Linked DNA regions of Drosophila melanogaster. The protein of the gene in region 1 interacts with the protein of each later gene in a pairwise test. Each region holds a gene or a part of one and is shown in the gene's direction. Other genes may lie near its edges.

What was found. The genes of interacting proteins can lie anywhere in the genome.
Region 2: the proteins of RpL22-like (region 1) and Sap30 interact in a two-hybrid assay, tested with the Drosophila melanogaster proteins (one large-scale study listed by BioGRID).

The regions. Positions count from the first base shown.
Region 1 is NT_033778.4:23,245,227-23,250,640, reverse strand, and holds RpL22-like (ribosomal protein L22-like), read left to right. Parts: upstream 1-2,747; 5' UTR 2,748-2,863; intron 2,864-2,915; 5' UTR 2,916-2,917; coding exon 2,918-3,856; 3' UTR 3,857-4,031; downstream 4,032-5,414.
Region 2 is NC_004354.4:16,785,183-16,790,984, forward strand, and holds Sap30 (SIN3-associated polypeptide 30), read left to right. Parts: upstream 1-2,100; 5' UTR 2,101-2,358; intron 2,359-2,502; 5' UTR 2,503-2,767; coding exon 2,768-3,160; intron 3,161-3,384; coding exon 3,385-3,513; 3' UTR 3,514-4,462; downstream 4,463-5,802. Other genes in the region: CG9609 (uncharacterized protein), read right to left, coding at 297-1,322, 1,383-1,568; Rrp45, read right to left, coding at 4,495-4,535, 4,591-5,331, 5,492-5,802. UniProt on the Drosophila melanogaster protein: Component of the class 1 Sin3A-histone deacetylase (HDAC1/Rpd3) complex (HDAC). Appears to be a non-essential subunit of this complex which is not required for cell cycle regulation of progression through the G2 phase of the cell cycle.

The DNA.
Region 1 (5,414 bases):
CTTCGAGGAAAAGCAGCTCCTACTGCTGGTCAGGCGATAAGCATTTGCGTGATTAATGAAATGTGTGCCCGTTCCCCTTCCCTTGCTCCAAACGCAAAAGAGTTGCGAAAGGCCTTTCCATAAATAAACAATTAGGTCTCGCCACCCGCAACCGACTTTCCATTCTGCAACTTCAAACTCCGACAATCCTGACTTACTGGCTCACAATGGGCGGGCTTTCCCGCTTTTCCCGCCTTCTTGCCGCTAATTGACTCGCACTCGCCCAATTAGAACTCGTAAGCGGGCACGCTTTGCCCATTTGAATTTATATTGGAAATTAATTTAATTAATAGAGCGCCTGGAACGGGAAAGGAATCGGATGTAGTGTGGGTGTGGAGTCACCTACCAGGTGTTGTATCCAGTTCCCAGTTTCCCTGGGCTATCGCAGCGGGAAGTGTCAAACAGTCAACTCAATAACTGTTTATTTTGGCTGGCACATTGCCAATTTTGGCCTGGCTGAGTCAGTTGGTAATCGTTTCGCCTTATTTTTTTGGCCAACTAGAGCACTCGTATATTGTGGCTGGTAGATTGGCAACTCTTTTCTGCTGGGCCATGCATTTGCATTTTCTATCTCAATTGGCGGTTTGCATTTCATTAGCCTGAGCAGTTTCGTTAAGCTTGCCAATTTATGGCAATAAAGGTGTTAAGAGCTTGGTAAGATCTATTCGAATGGTATTTTATTGGTATTGGTTTGGGACCACCCATGGGACCCATTAATTCAGCCACAAATAAACATTTTCCTAGGCAGAAAACGGATTCTAGATGCAAAAATATCGAAAAATATTAATAACCCATATATTAATCTGTTAGTTTACATATGTATCATAGATCATTTTAATTGGCACGCAAATTCCCGGTATAAATCAGACCATTTTAAAAGCATTTTCCGCCCCTTCACTCTACATGACTGCCGTCTGGACTCCTCGCAAGATCGTGCTGCCTGCCTGCCCACCTGATGTCGAAGTGATCGATGTCCCTGGACAGCCGTTGCCATCCATAACGAGGCAAACTCCCAGGCCAAAGACGCCTCCGCACTGCCAATCCCATTTTCCGCTTTCCATCCGCCCATTTGCTACCGTTTAGCCAGATTGATTTCGGGCCAGAAGCCGCACGACTCCGCCGATCATTCCTCCCACTTTTCGCAGGGGGCGGAGGGCCGTCACGCCCACCGTTGCAGTTTTCCCATCGCCCAATCGCCAATGCCGGGCCCATCAATCAACTTCGAGTGCTCGCAGTGAGCGGGAGGTACTCCACTTGCTTCTACCTGCCTCCGAATCTCTGCATCTCCGAATCCGCGAGGAGGACGCGGCAAGAGGCTGCGCCTGGGAGCGCTTTTGGTTGTAAAAATCGTTTCGGCATCATTTTTCATATCCGCAACCGAAACAAAACCGCCAAAAAAAAAAAGAACCAAAACTACCAGAAAACAATATCCAGTCGGCGGCTGGGAAATCGAGTAGCATCCTAACTGCAGGAGCTTCATGCGGCGTTGGAAAAACAGTGGTACGTACCCGAAATACCCTAGGGTTGACTTCTCCAATCTCTATTGCGAGTATGGAAAGGTCATATAAATGTACCAAAGTCGCCCTAAATCTCACTCTTTTGGTTTCTTCTTTTATTATAAACAATTTAGGATGATCCAAAGTCCATTTGAATAGTAATACCCTCTGTTAGGGTATGAGAAGGTGGATAGATGGGCTTGGGTTATGTTTCGGTGGCCAGGGGTGCGTATACGTGATCGCTGCATTTCTTTGGACGTTCCGCGACGCTTTGTTTGCGCTGCCATCGACACCCCTGTCCCGCCCCTCCTGCCATCCTTTTTAAGCCTTGTTTGCTCTTGGCAGTGGCAAGCGAAAGAGACGGCTGCAACGAGACAGAAAGAGACAGCACGAGGGAGAAGGTTTCGATGTAGCGCGAATTTGTTGCAATTTCTCATTGTCAGCGAACGCGTTCGCCGGTAAGTTTTGATTAAACGCTCCGCGGGAATTCACTTTGGCTTGCACTTTTTGCTTTTGTTTTTATTTTTTATTTTTCCTGCCGATAGGAGGTGGCATCTCCCATCCACAATCCCAAATCCCAGTTGGTGGCCAACTCTTTCATTTGAATTTGATAAATGGCGCTCGTTGCAAAGCGATATGTTATGCAATTTAGGGATTTCCTTGTGGCTTAAAAAATATTGAAGCGATAGCTAAATGTTTGTACAACTCGGAAATAAATGAACTGGCCGACAAAGAGAGTGGAAGGTGATGACACTTTAAACAGGCTTTCGGAATTCAATTTGCCTAGCATTGGGAAAAGTTGAGCTATCTCTGTGGATTCATGTGGATTCCACTTTGGTAACTTATCTCGAACCTGTGTGCGCAAGTTTAAATCGATTTCGATCCACCACAATACCCTATAATAAAAGAGCTTAAAAGGGAGCTGGTATAATATGAAAACTACAAATTACTGAGGCCGAACTGGAGGCGAGACGACAAACAAGGCCAAATTGATCCCCGGCTGACAAGCGGTAATAATAATTTCGTGCCAATTAATCAGCGTTAAATCAGAGCGTCAACATCCCAACCTGCTCCACACTCATTTCTCGTGATTTCACTTAAAGATTTCCTGTTTTTTTTTCACAAACATGCCGCCCAAGATAATCGAATAATTGGCATTCGCATTCTACGTAAGCACAGTCGATTGTGAGCAAGGTCACACGGATCGCAAATGCAGTTACTTTCTGATTGTTGCTACACTTGGCCACTCTAATTCTTTTCCTGCCAAACTTCAACGGAGGAAGTCACGTGGTGTTTCTAAACCTATTTTTGATACTAATTTCTTTGGAGTAAGTTAATTGTTTCAAAATTTTAGGCGTGTGCTCATGTTTTGCCATATAGGAATGAGTTCCCAGACGCAGAAAAAGAATGCTTCCAAGGCCAAATCGAAGGCGGGCCCACAGCCGTCGAAGAAAGCCCCGGCTAAGGTGACTCCTGTAGAAACCGCCACCCCATCTGCGGCTCCGCCTTTGTCCTCTAAAAAGGTGGCCAAAGCTCCGGCCGTGGCACTAAAGAATCTCGATTTGGCCATGAAAGAATCGGCTAAGAAGGCCGCCGAAGCTGCTGACCAGAAGTTGGTCTCGAAGGCGAAGAAAGGCCAGAATGCTTCACGCAAGAACTTGATGCAAGTGCCGGAACCCGTTGCCCCTGAGGTGGACAATAAGAAAAAGTCTGCGCCTCCTAAACGTGGCAATGCGGAAATACCCACGGTTGTCCCCGCCAAAAAGGCCGCCCTGGTGCAAGAAAAGCCCAAGGAACAAGCTGCCGCAGCACCAAAAGCCGAAAATGTCGAGGTTCCAGCAGCCAAAGCTAAAAGTGTAAAAAAGAGCCTCGCCACTCCGGCAAATCCGAAGCCCAAGCCGAAACGCACGAAGAATGTTCTGCGTGGAAAAAGGCTGGCCAAAAAGAAGGCTTGGCAACGCTTTGTGATCGACTGCGCATGCGTGGCCGAGGATATGATCCTGGACCTCGCCGACTTCGAGCAGTATTTGAAGACCCACATCAAGATAAAGAACAAGCTCAACCAGCTGAAGGATCAGGTCACTTTCGAGCGCACCAAGAACTTCTCGCTGATCATCCACTCCGGTGTGCACTTCTCCAAGCGCTACTTCAAGTATCTGACCAAACGGTATTTGAAGAAGGTCAGCCTGCGTGATTGGTTGCGGGTAGTGTCCACGGCCAAGGACACCTTCGCCATGACCTACTTTAAGATTCAGGACAAGGACTTTGATGACGACGACGACGACGTTGCCGACGACAATGGCGGAAAAACCTTTGCCTAAAACAAAGATCGCATTTCGAAAACATGTATATCCCATGAAAGCTGTTCAAGTGTGTAGACTTCTTAAATTTCTCAGTATACTTCTGTTAAATTTCCCACTTGAAGTTTCACTAGTTCTCAATGTGGCTCATACAATTTTTGCTCATTTGCTTCAACATATTCAACGATGAAATATCAATAAAAAAAAAAAAAACCCTAACAAGAGTATATCATATATGTATGTATTCTCATCCGAAGCTGCAGAGTTCCCTTGAAGAACTTAAAGATTTCATTTTACGGTCAGTTAGGAGGAAGGAGCGGAGCGTTCCTCGGTCGAATCGACTTAAACTTGAACGATTGACATCTCGGAGAGGGCCTCGAGTGGCATTCGTCATGTTTTGATTGGGAGGAGCCAGTCTTGTTTTCCTTACCTTTTTACGCTTTTGTAAATACCTTAAATTGCCCCATTGGACGGGATTGTGTTCGATGCCAGGCGGCTTAATTGCTTCGCTGTGGGTCTGCCAAATGGACGAAACCATGGGTGGGGATCAGAGGGTGCTCCTCTGTCAGCAGTTGGCCCGGCCTGGCCGTAGGTGGTCCATAACGAGCTAATGAAATGCGAATCCAGCCAAAATGCGAACAGCGAGGCAGCCCAGTGGAGTGAGTCAGGCAGGCAGCTGTCAAAATCGAAATCAACCTGAGCACTCGCAGGTTGGCTTCTTTTCGACTTGGCCAAAAGAACACAAAGGCTGGGCAAAATATTCACGATTGCCGCCTGGAAGGGAATACAAAGCGAAAATAAACATAAACGTCATGCAAATCGTATGGTAATTGCTGTCATCGCCGACTCTTGTCAAAACGGGTTGAAGTGTTTTGTAAATGCCAGAAAAAATTAAATTCCAGACATGCAGACGAGTACCAATAATAATAATAATAATGTAATAAGGGGCTTGCGATGGGGGGGAAGTCAAGAGTGATCCACACGCGATTATTATTTTGTCAAATGGGAAAACGATATCGGGCCAAAGCAGAGAGAGAACAGCCTCTGTCAAAAGCCAATTGGCCATTGGTAATTGGAATAGGCCTGACATCCAATGGTGATTAAAGTTAATTGAACTAACACCCATAGTTGATAGATGATGGCGTTCTTTGTCAAACCGAATATACCAACGTAAAAAATACTTTAGCATGTGTTAATTAGCATTAACGCTATTTTATTTAATTAATAGTGCACATTTGTATGATGTATTTCACTCCCTTGAAGAGCCACTTTTTGCAGCAAATAGAGCTGGCATTAAAACAAGTATTAATTTTGAACCCTGTGTCAGGGCCTTATTAATTTGAAAGCAAATCCCTTGTGACATGGAATATGAACCGTGCAATCAAGTTGGCTTTTAATTGTGCGTCAAACATTCAGATCCAGAATCTTGGTAATAGGCTCAAATCCACTCCGATTCTAGGTAGGTTGATCCCTGTTCCTGCTTAGGCTAATTAACACATCGATTACATCGTTGCGCGGACAGTGTGTGTCTTTAAATTGATAGGCTCGTTAAAGTGTCTACCATTCCGAGGCCTTCTGG
Region 2 (5,802 bases), on another chromosome or scaffold:
GGTTTTCTCTCTGGATGCCCGAGAGTTTCGGAACTCTAGTTGAAGTCAGGGAATGTTTGCAACTGTAAGCTTAAAGTAAATAAACTAATTCGCTCCAGGCGAATACTACTAATAATAGCTTACTAATTTATGCAAATTAATGCAATTTCGGATGTTTCTGAACGCAAATCCTAAGTATTTACTGATAAATTAGTTGTTTCTCTTTTAGAAGTTGTGGTTTAAATTAAAGTAGTCATTCAATTGTTAGCCTCTTGACCAGACCTTCTCACTCCCGTCCCTTTGAATGGCCTTTTGCTCTACTCCTGCTCCTTTTCCTCTTCATCCTGCAGGGTCTGTGCCAGCAGCTCCTCGACGGGGTCATCCTTCAGCGACTGGGTGATCTTTTCGAGGACCAAAGGCTGTCGCTCGCGCACCGCCTCATCATCTTCCTTGTCCAATTGCAGGCAGGCCAGTTTGGATAGCCTCGAATGTTTGCTGCGTCCAGCATCGCGTCGTCGCTTGCGGGATGTGGACTTAGTTTTGCCCCCTTCTCCAGTCTTACTCTTGTCCTTCTTCTTGGCTTTCAATTCCTTTTTCGTCGCACCATCTTTGTGATCCCTGAGCAGATGTCTCGCCAGATTCTGCGCACTGCTGAAACAGCGGCCGCAGTCCAAGGCCTGGCACTCGAAACGCCTGCCCGAGTGGGCGGTGAGCATGTGCTGGCGTAGATTCCTGAGGTACGAGTAACTCTTGCCGCATCCCTCCTCGTTGCAGGTGAAGGAGGTGGCGCACTCATCCGTCTGCGCCGCCTCCTTGTGCTTCACCTCGAGGTGACGCTTCAGTTCGCTCGGCTTGTCGAAGGCACTATCGCAGCGGTCGCACTTATGGCGATTCTTGCCGTGCAACGAGTCGCGACAATGCTTCGTATACAACGTCCATTTGTCGAACTGCAGCGGGCAGCCGGGACACTCGTACAGCTTGCAGCTGGGCTCGTGACTCTGGCACTGCCACTGCTGGTAGAAGCCGCGCGAGCACTTCGAGCAGCTGTACGGATACTCCAGCGTGTGCTCCCTGATCTCGTGGCGCTTCAGCTTGAGCTTTTGCGAGAATTTGGCACTGCACTGGCTGCACGGATAGACCTTTGGGCTCTCGTGGGTTTCGCGCATGTGGCGGGTCATGTTGCTAACCGAGATGAACATCTTGCTGCACTCCTCCAGCGCGCACTTCACCGTCTTCTTGGCCGCCGACTCCGGACGCTCGTGGGTGCTGCGCAGATGCCTCTTTAAGTGCGTCACAATCGAGTACGTCTTGTCGCAACCCTCGTACGAGCAGGCGTGCTTCTTCTGCAAAGTGGTGGCGGCGTTACTACTGGCTTACACTTAACATACTCTAACTATACTCACAATCCCTGTGTGATGATACTCATGGCGATCCAATTGGTCCAGCCGCTTGAATGTGGCCTCGCATTTGGGCATGCTGCACGCGTACTTGGCCGAGCCGATGCTGTTGCGGCGTCCCTGGCGCTGCTTGAACTCCTCCAGAGCGGTCTCCATATCGCTGTCGCTGGCAATTTGCGTTCCAGGCGGCATTTTTGAGGGTTTTTATCTCCGAAATATTGCAATCTCTTTTTTTTTTGTGTTTTAGGTTACCGCGACATCCGCAAATGTCGTGGAATTATTTGGCCACACTCGTGTACGTGGAAATAGCCAAGGACTTAAGGTTGAAGAGATTGATTTTATTTCAATTTGGTGTAGCAAATCTATAACTTATAGGTTTCTTTTAATTTGGTGTAGAAAATCGATGATGTCCCTGGTAAGCGTTTATGATTTCGTTTTTGGAGAGATGGTAGATTTTTTGGTATTTTTCCAGGGCTGGAAATTGCTGCCTAGCAGTGTTGTACTGCAACAACTGAATAAGATGTACGATACGTTATCGAAAACGTTACATTGGTCACATTATTATTCATTTATTCAAAATATAATTGTCACATACGTTATAGCTAAGATTTTTTTTAATGTGCCTGGGAAAAGTTTGCAGTAACCCCGTTGTTTATTTGCAGAAAATTCTGCGTATTCCTTTTCCCAGTCTTTTTGAATGATTCTGTTTAATTCTCCAACTCACTACGGTGAAAATTCCTTGCGTCGATGCATTTAACAAATATATGCTTGTTAGTCCCCCGTCTCAGAAACTACAATCAAGAATTGGTCTGAAGACGAGTATAATAATATTCTATATAGACAAGCAGTCAGATACGCCTGAGAAAAAGGAAATTCAAATTTCATTGCACTAACGTGAGCTAGTGATGACAAAAACGGTAATTGGCTCAACTATCGTACCGGTGTGCGGTACCTATCGGAATTGGAATCAATGCTGGAAAAGGTAACTATATTTTGGTACACGGTATTTTTAAATTTAAGTACTGAAATTAACTAATATTTATTTAATTAATATTTTGTGCGATTATTAATACCAATTAAAAAATATTGATCGATAATCTGGAAAAAAATGCACTTGATATTTAAGATATTTGAGAAACTGCAAACAGTTTCAAATTGTCCGCTCTTGCCAGCTGCGGAGGAATTTCCCCATTTCCCAGTTTGGTCACATCGCGCTGTCGAAAGAAAATTTTTTTCTTGCAAAGAGAAACAAAGCAAAGCAATAGTCGAAAGTGAGAAAGACGAAAGAGGAGACAAAGGAGCGAAACGGAGAAAATCAGAGAAGCAGCAAGCAGAGCAGGAAGGGGGATTGGATAGGAACTCGAAAGCAATCGGCCAGGATCGGGAACAGGATGAACAACGGATTCAGCACCGGCGAGGAGGACAGTCGCGGGCACACGGACCAAACGTGCTGCCTAATCGACGACATGGAGCGGTGTCGCAACCAGGCTGGCTACGCCAGCTACTCCAAGCGCATCCAGAAGACGGTGGCCCAAAAGCGGCTCAAGCTCAGCAGCGATCCGGCCGCGCAGCACATTTACATCTGTGACCACCACAAGGAGCGCATCCAGTCGGTGCGCACCAAGCGTCGGCGCAAGGACAGCGAGGACGACAGCAACGAGACGGACACGGACCTGCACGAGTTCCCCGATCTCTACCAGCTGGGCGTGAGCACGCTGCGACGCTACAAGCGCCACTTCAAGGTCCAAACGAGGCAGGGCATGAAGCGGGCGCAGCTGGCGGATGTAAGTTTGACCTAGTTAACGAATTGAGCAGGCTATGTCCACTTTCTGTTGCCGGATTTCAGTGGGGTAACACGCTGGTCTAATGTGCTCCGTGATGCTCCATAGTTGGCCCTCTTGTAGTAGCCTCCACTCTAAAGAAAAGGCAGAAAAATGTGCCATGCCCTTTATAAGGTTTTCTAAACCCTGTTTTAATCAAGTTGCAAACCTCTACTCTTCTCCCGCAGACAATTATGAAACACTTCAAGACAATACCCATCAAGGAGAAGGAGATCATCACATTCTTCGTGTACATGGTGAAGATGGGCTCGAATAAGCTGGACCAGAAGAACGGCCTTGGCAACGACACCACCTGAAGGCGCGTCGGCGGGCGGAGGGAGGAGGAGGACGCCGACGACGTCTACTCCTTTTAACGCTGGCCAACTGCCGATCAAAAGAAATTAACAACCAAACTTCTCACATTGTTGCTGCATTTGCTGGACGTCGGCATTGTTGACCAGAATAGGGATGAACGAGAATATTGATAGTGCAATGGCTCATCCTCATCCGTGTGACCCCCAAGAAACCCAATCCTATACCCATAAGCCACCACTGCCCAAACCCTTAAGCCTTTCCCCCGACTCCCCGGAACACAAGTAATATGCGAAAAGTAAAACAGCAATGAAAGAACGTAAGGAAGAAGGCAACTGGTGCTCCCACGAAAAACAAAACAAACAAAAATTAAAAATAAATAAACTAGTATGTTGCGAAAGTGAGTCTAATATTAAAAAAGAAATTTACAAAAACTATTTGTAGCCTTGGTCCGTTGTTAATAGCTCTTTATACACGCACTACATTAAATAAACTATGTAAATTTACAAGAGAATTAACAGAAAACACAACACACTCAATCAAATAGCAATTCGTATTCTTAGGCTTAAAGACATGTTTATTTGATCGTTTGTATTATACATCATGTTAAGTGAAGTGGGGCTCTGGCTAGACATCAGTTAGTAGTAACCAGATACTTTAAGCGAATCAAAACACAATTAGACTTCAATGTGAAAGCAAATTGAATCCGGAAGCCAATACCAATTATCGCTACAAACAGAGAAATAACGAACGAAATAATTTGCAATATTTAAACTAAAACATCGTGTCGTTTGCCCCGGCGGTTTGGAGATATATTTAGAGCTCTAGTTTAAGCCTAACTTAGACGAACATCGGTTCCACAAATCAATTGGAATTACGCATTAAACGATTTATGTTAAAGCCTAGACTGATTTTAGCCATACATATAAGCCTAAATAAAACTTAATAGAAAGCATTTTCTCTTAACTACACGACTATCACAACGGCTAGATGTATCGCTTGGCTTCCTCCTCGGAGTCGCTGTGATCTGGAGAAGAATCAATGCGTTATTAATGGGACTCCAGCCATGATTGCCAACTTACTTTGCTTCCTCGGCGGTGTCTTTTTGTTCGCCTTGTATTTGCCGCGACTTTGTTTGCCTTTAAGGCCTGCCTTCGATGGGCTTGCTTCCGAGCGCATGGGCAGTTCCTGGGAGTCCTCATCGTGTGGCAGCCAGTCGCTGGTGTCCATCGGTGCGCCAGCACTTTCCTCTTTGGACGGCTCTTCGTTGGCCACAGGCGTCTCACTGCTCTCGTTATTATCCAACTGCATTTTCTCGCTTGGCGGAGGTTGCTGCTCCTGTTTCTGTCTGCCCATCAGTTTGTTGTAGCTCAACTTGTGCTCCGTATTTAAAATCAGTGCCACCAGCCCATCGACCGATTGATCGCCCTGCGATCGACACTCTTCGTCCAGCGCCAAAGCTTTGCGTACGAAATTCAACAGAGACTTGCAACGAACCGCCGCATTGCGGGCACACTGCATGATGATGCGGGCATTTGTGGGTGCAGTGCCTCCGGCAGTCAGGCTGCACAGCTCCTGGAAGGAGTTAAAGCTCAGGACAATTACCGAATCGGCGGCGTTCTCCTCCAGCAGCGTAGGATCCAGTATTGGTTGCACACTGCTCTTGTAAACACAGTAGGTTACACTGACGGGATAGTGGTGGAAAAGCAGTGGAATGAATTCGCGCTCCTTTTTCTTAAAGATGCGCAGTTCGCCGTCCTTATACCAGACATCCGGTCGACGGAAGTGCATCAATGCAGCCAAAGTGGCTATGGTGCTGGCGTCTATAAGAAAGAATTGAGATATATAGATATATAAAAATATAAAACTAATATGAAGATTATTCTTTAAAAATGAAAGTATGGCCAAAGTATGGCTCCAACTGATAGCTTTTGATCATTTGTGAGGTAATCACGCTTTTCATCTTGAGATTGGTGCTTTTACCATACAGATTCCCGTCGTGATTGAGCACATTGACGTTGACACGGATGCACCACACATGCTTCTCGACGGCCACGCACAGAGATTCCAGATCGATGCTTCTAGAGCTGCGGAAGGTCCTCTCGAGCAGGGAGTTCAGTTTTAGCGATCGCTGGTCATGTGTGGTATGCGCCTCGTCCAGAAAAGCAACACCGCCAAGATATACGTTCAGGTGGATTTTGCCTTCGTTGGGCCGCGACAAGGCCGGCGGTCCCATTTCGCAGGTCACTTGGGCCAGTACCTTCGTATCGCCCATGGACACCGCCACGGAGCCC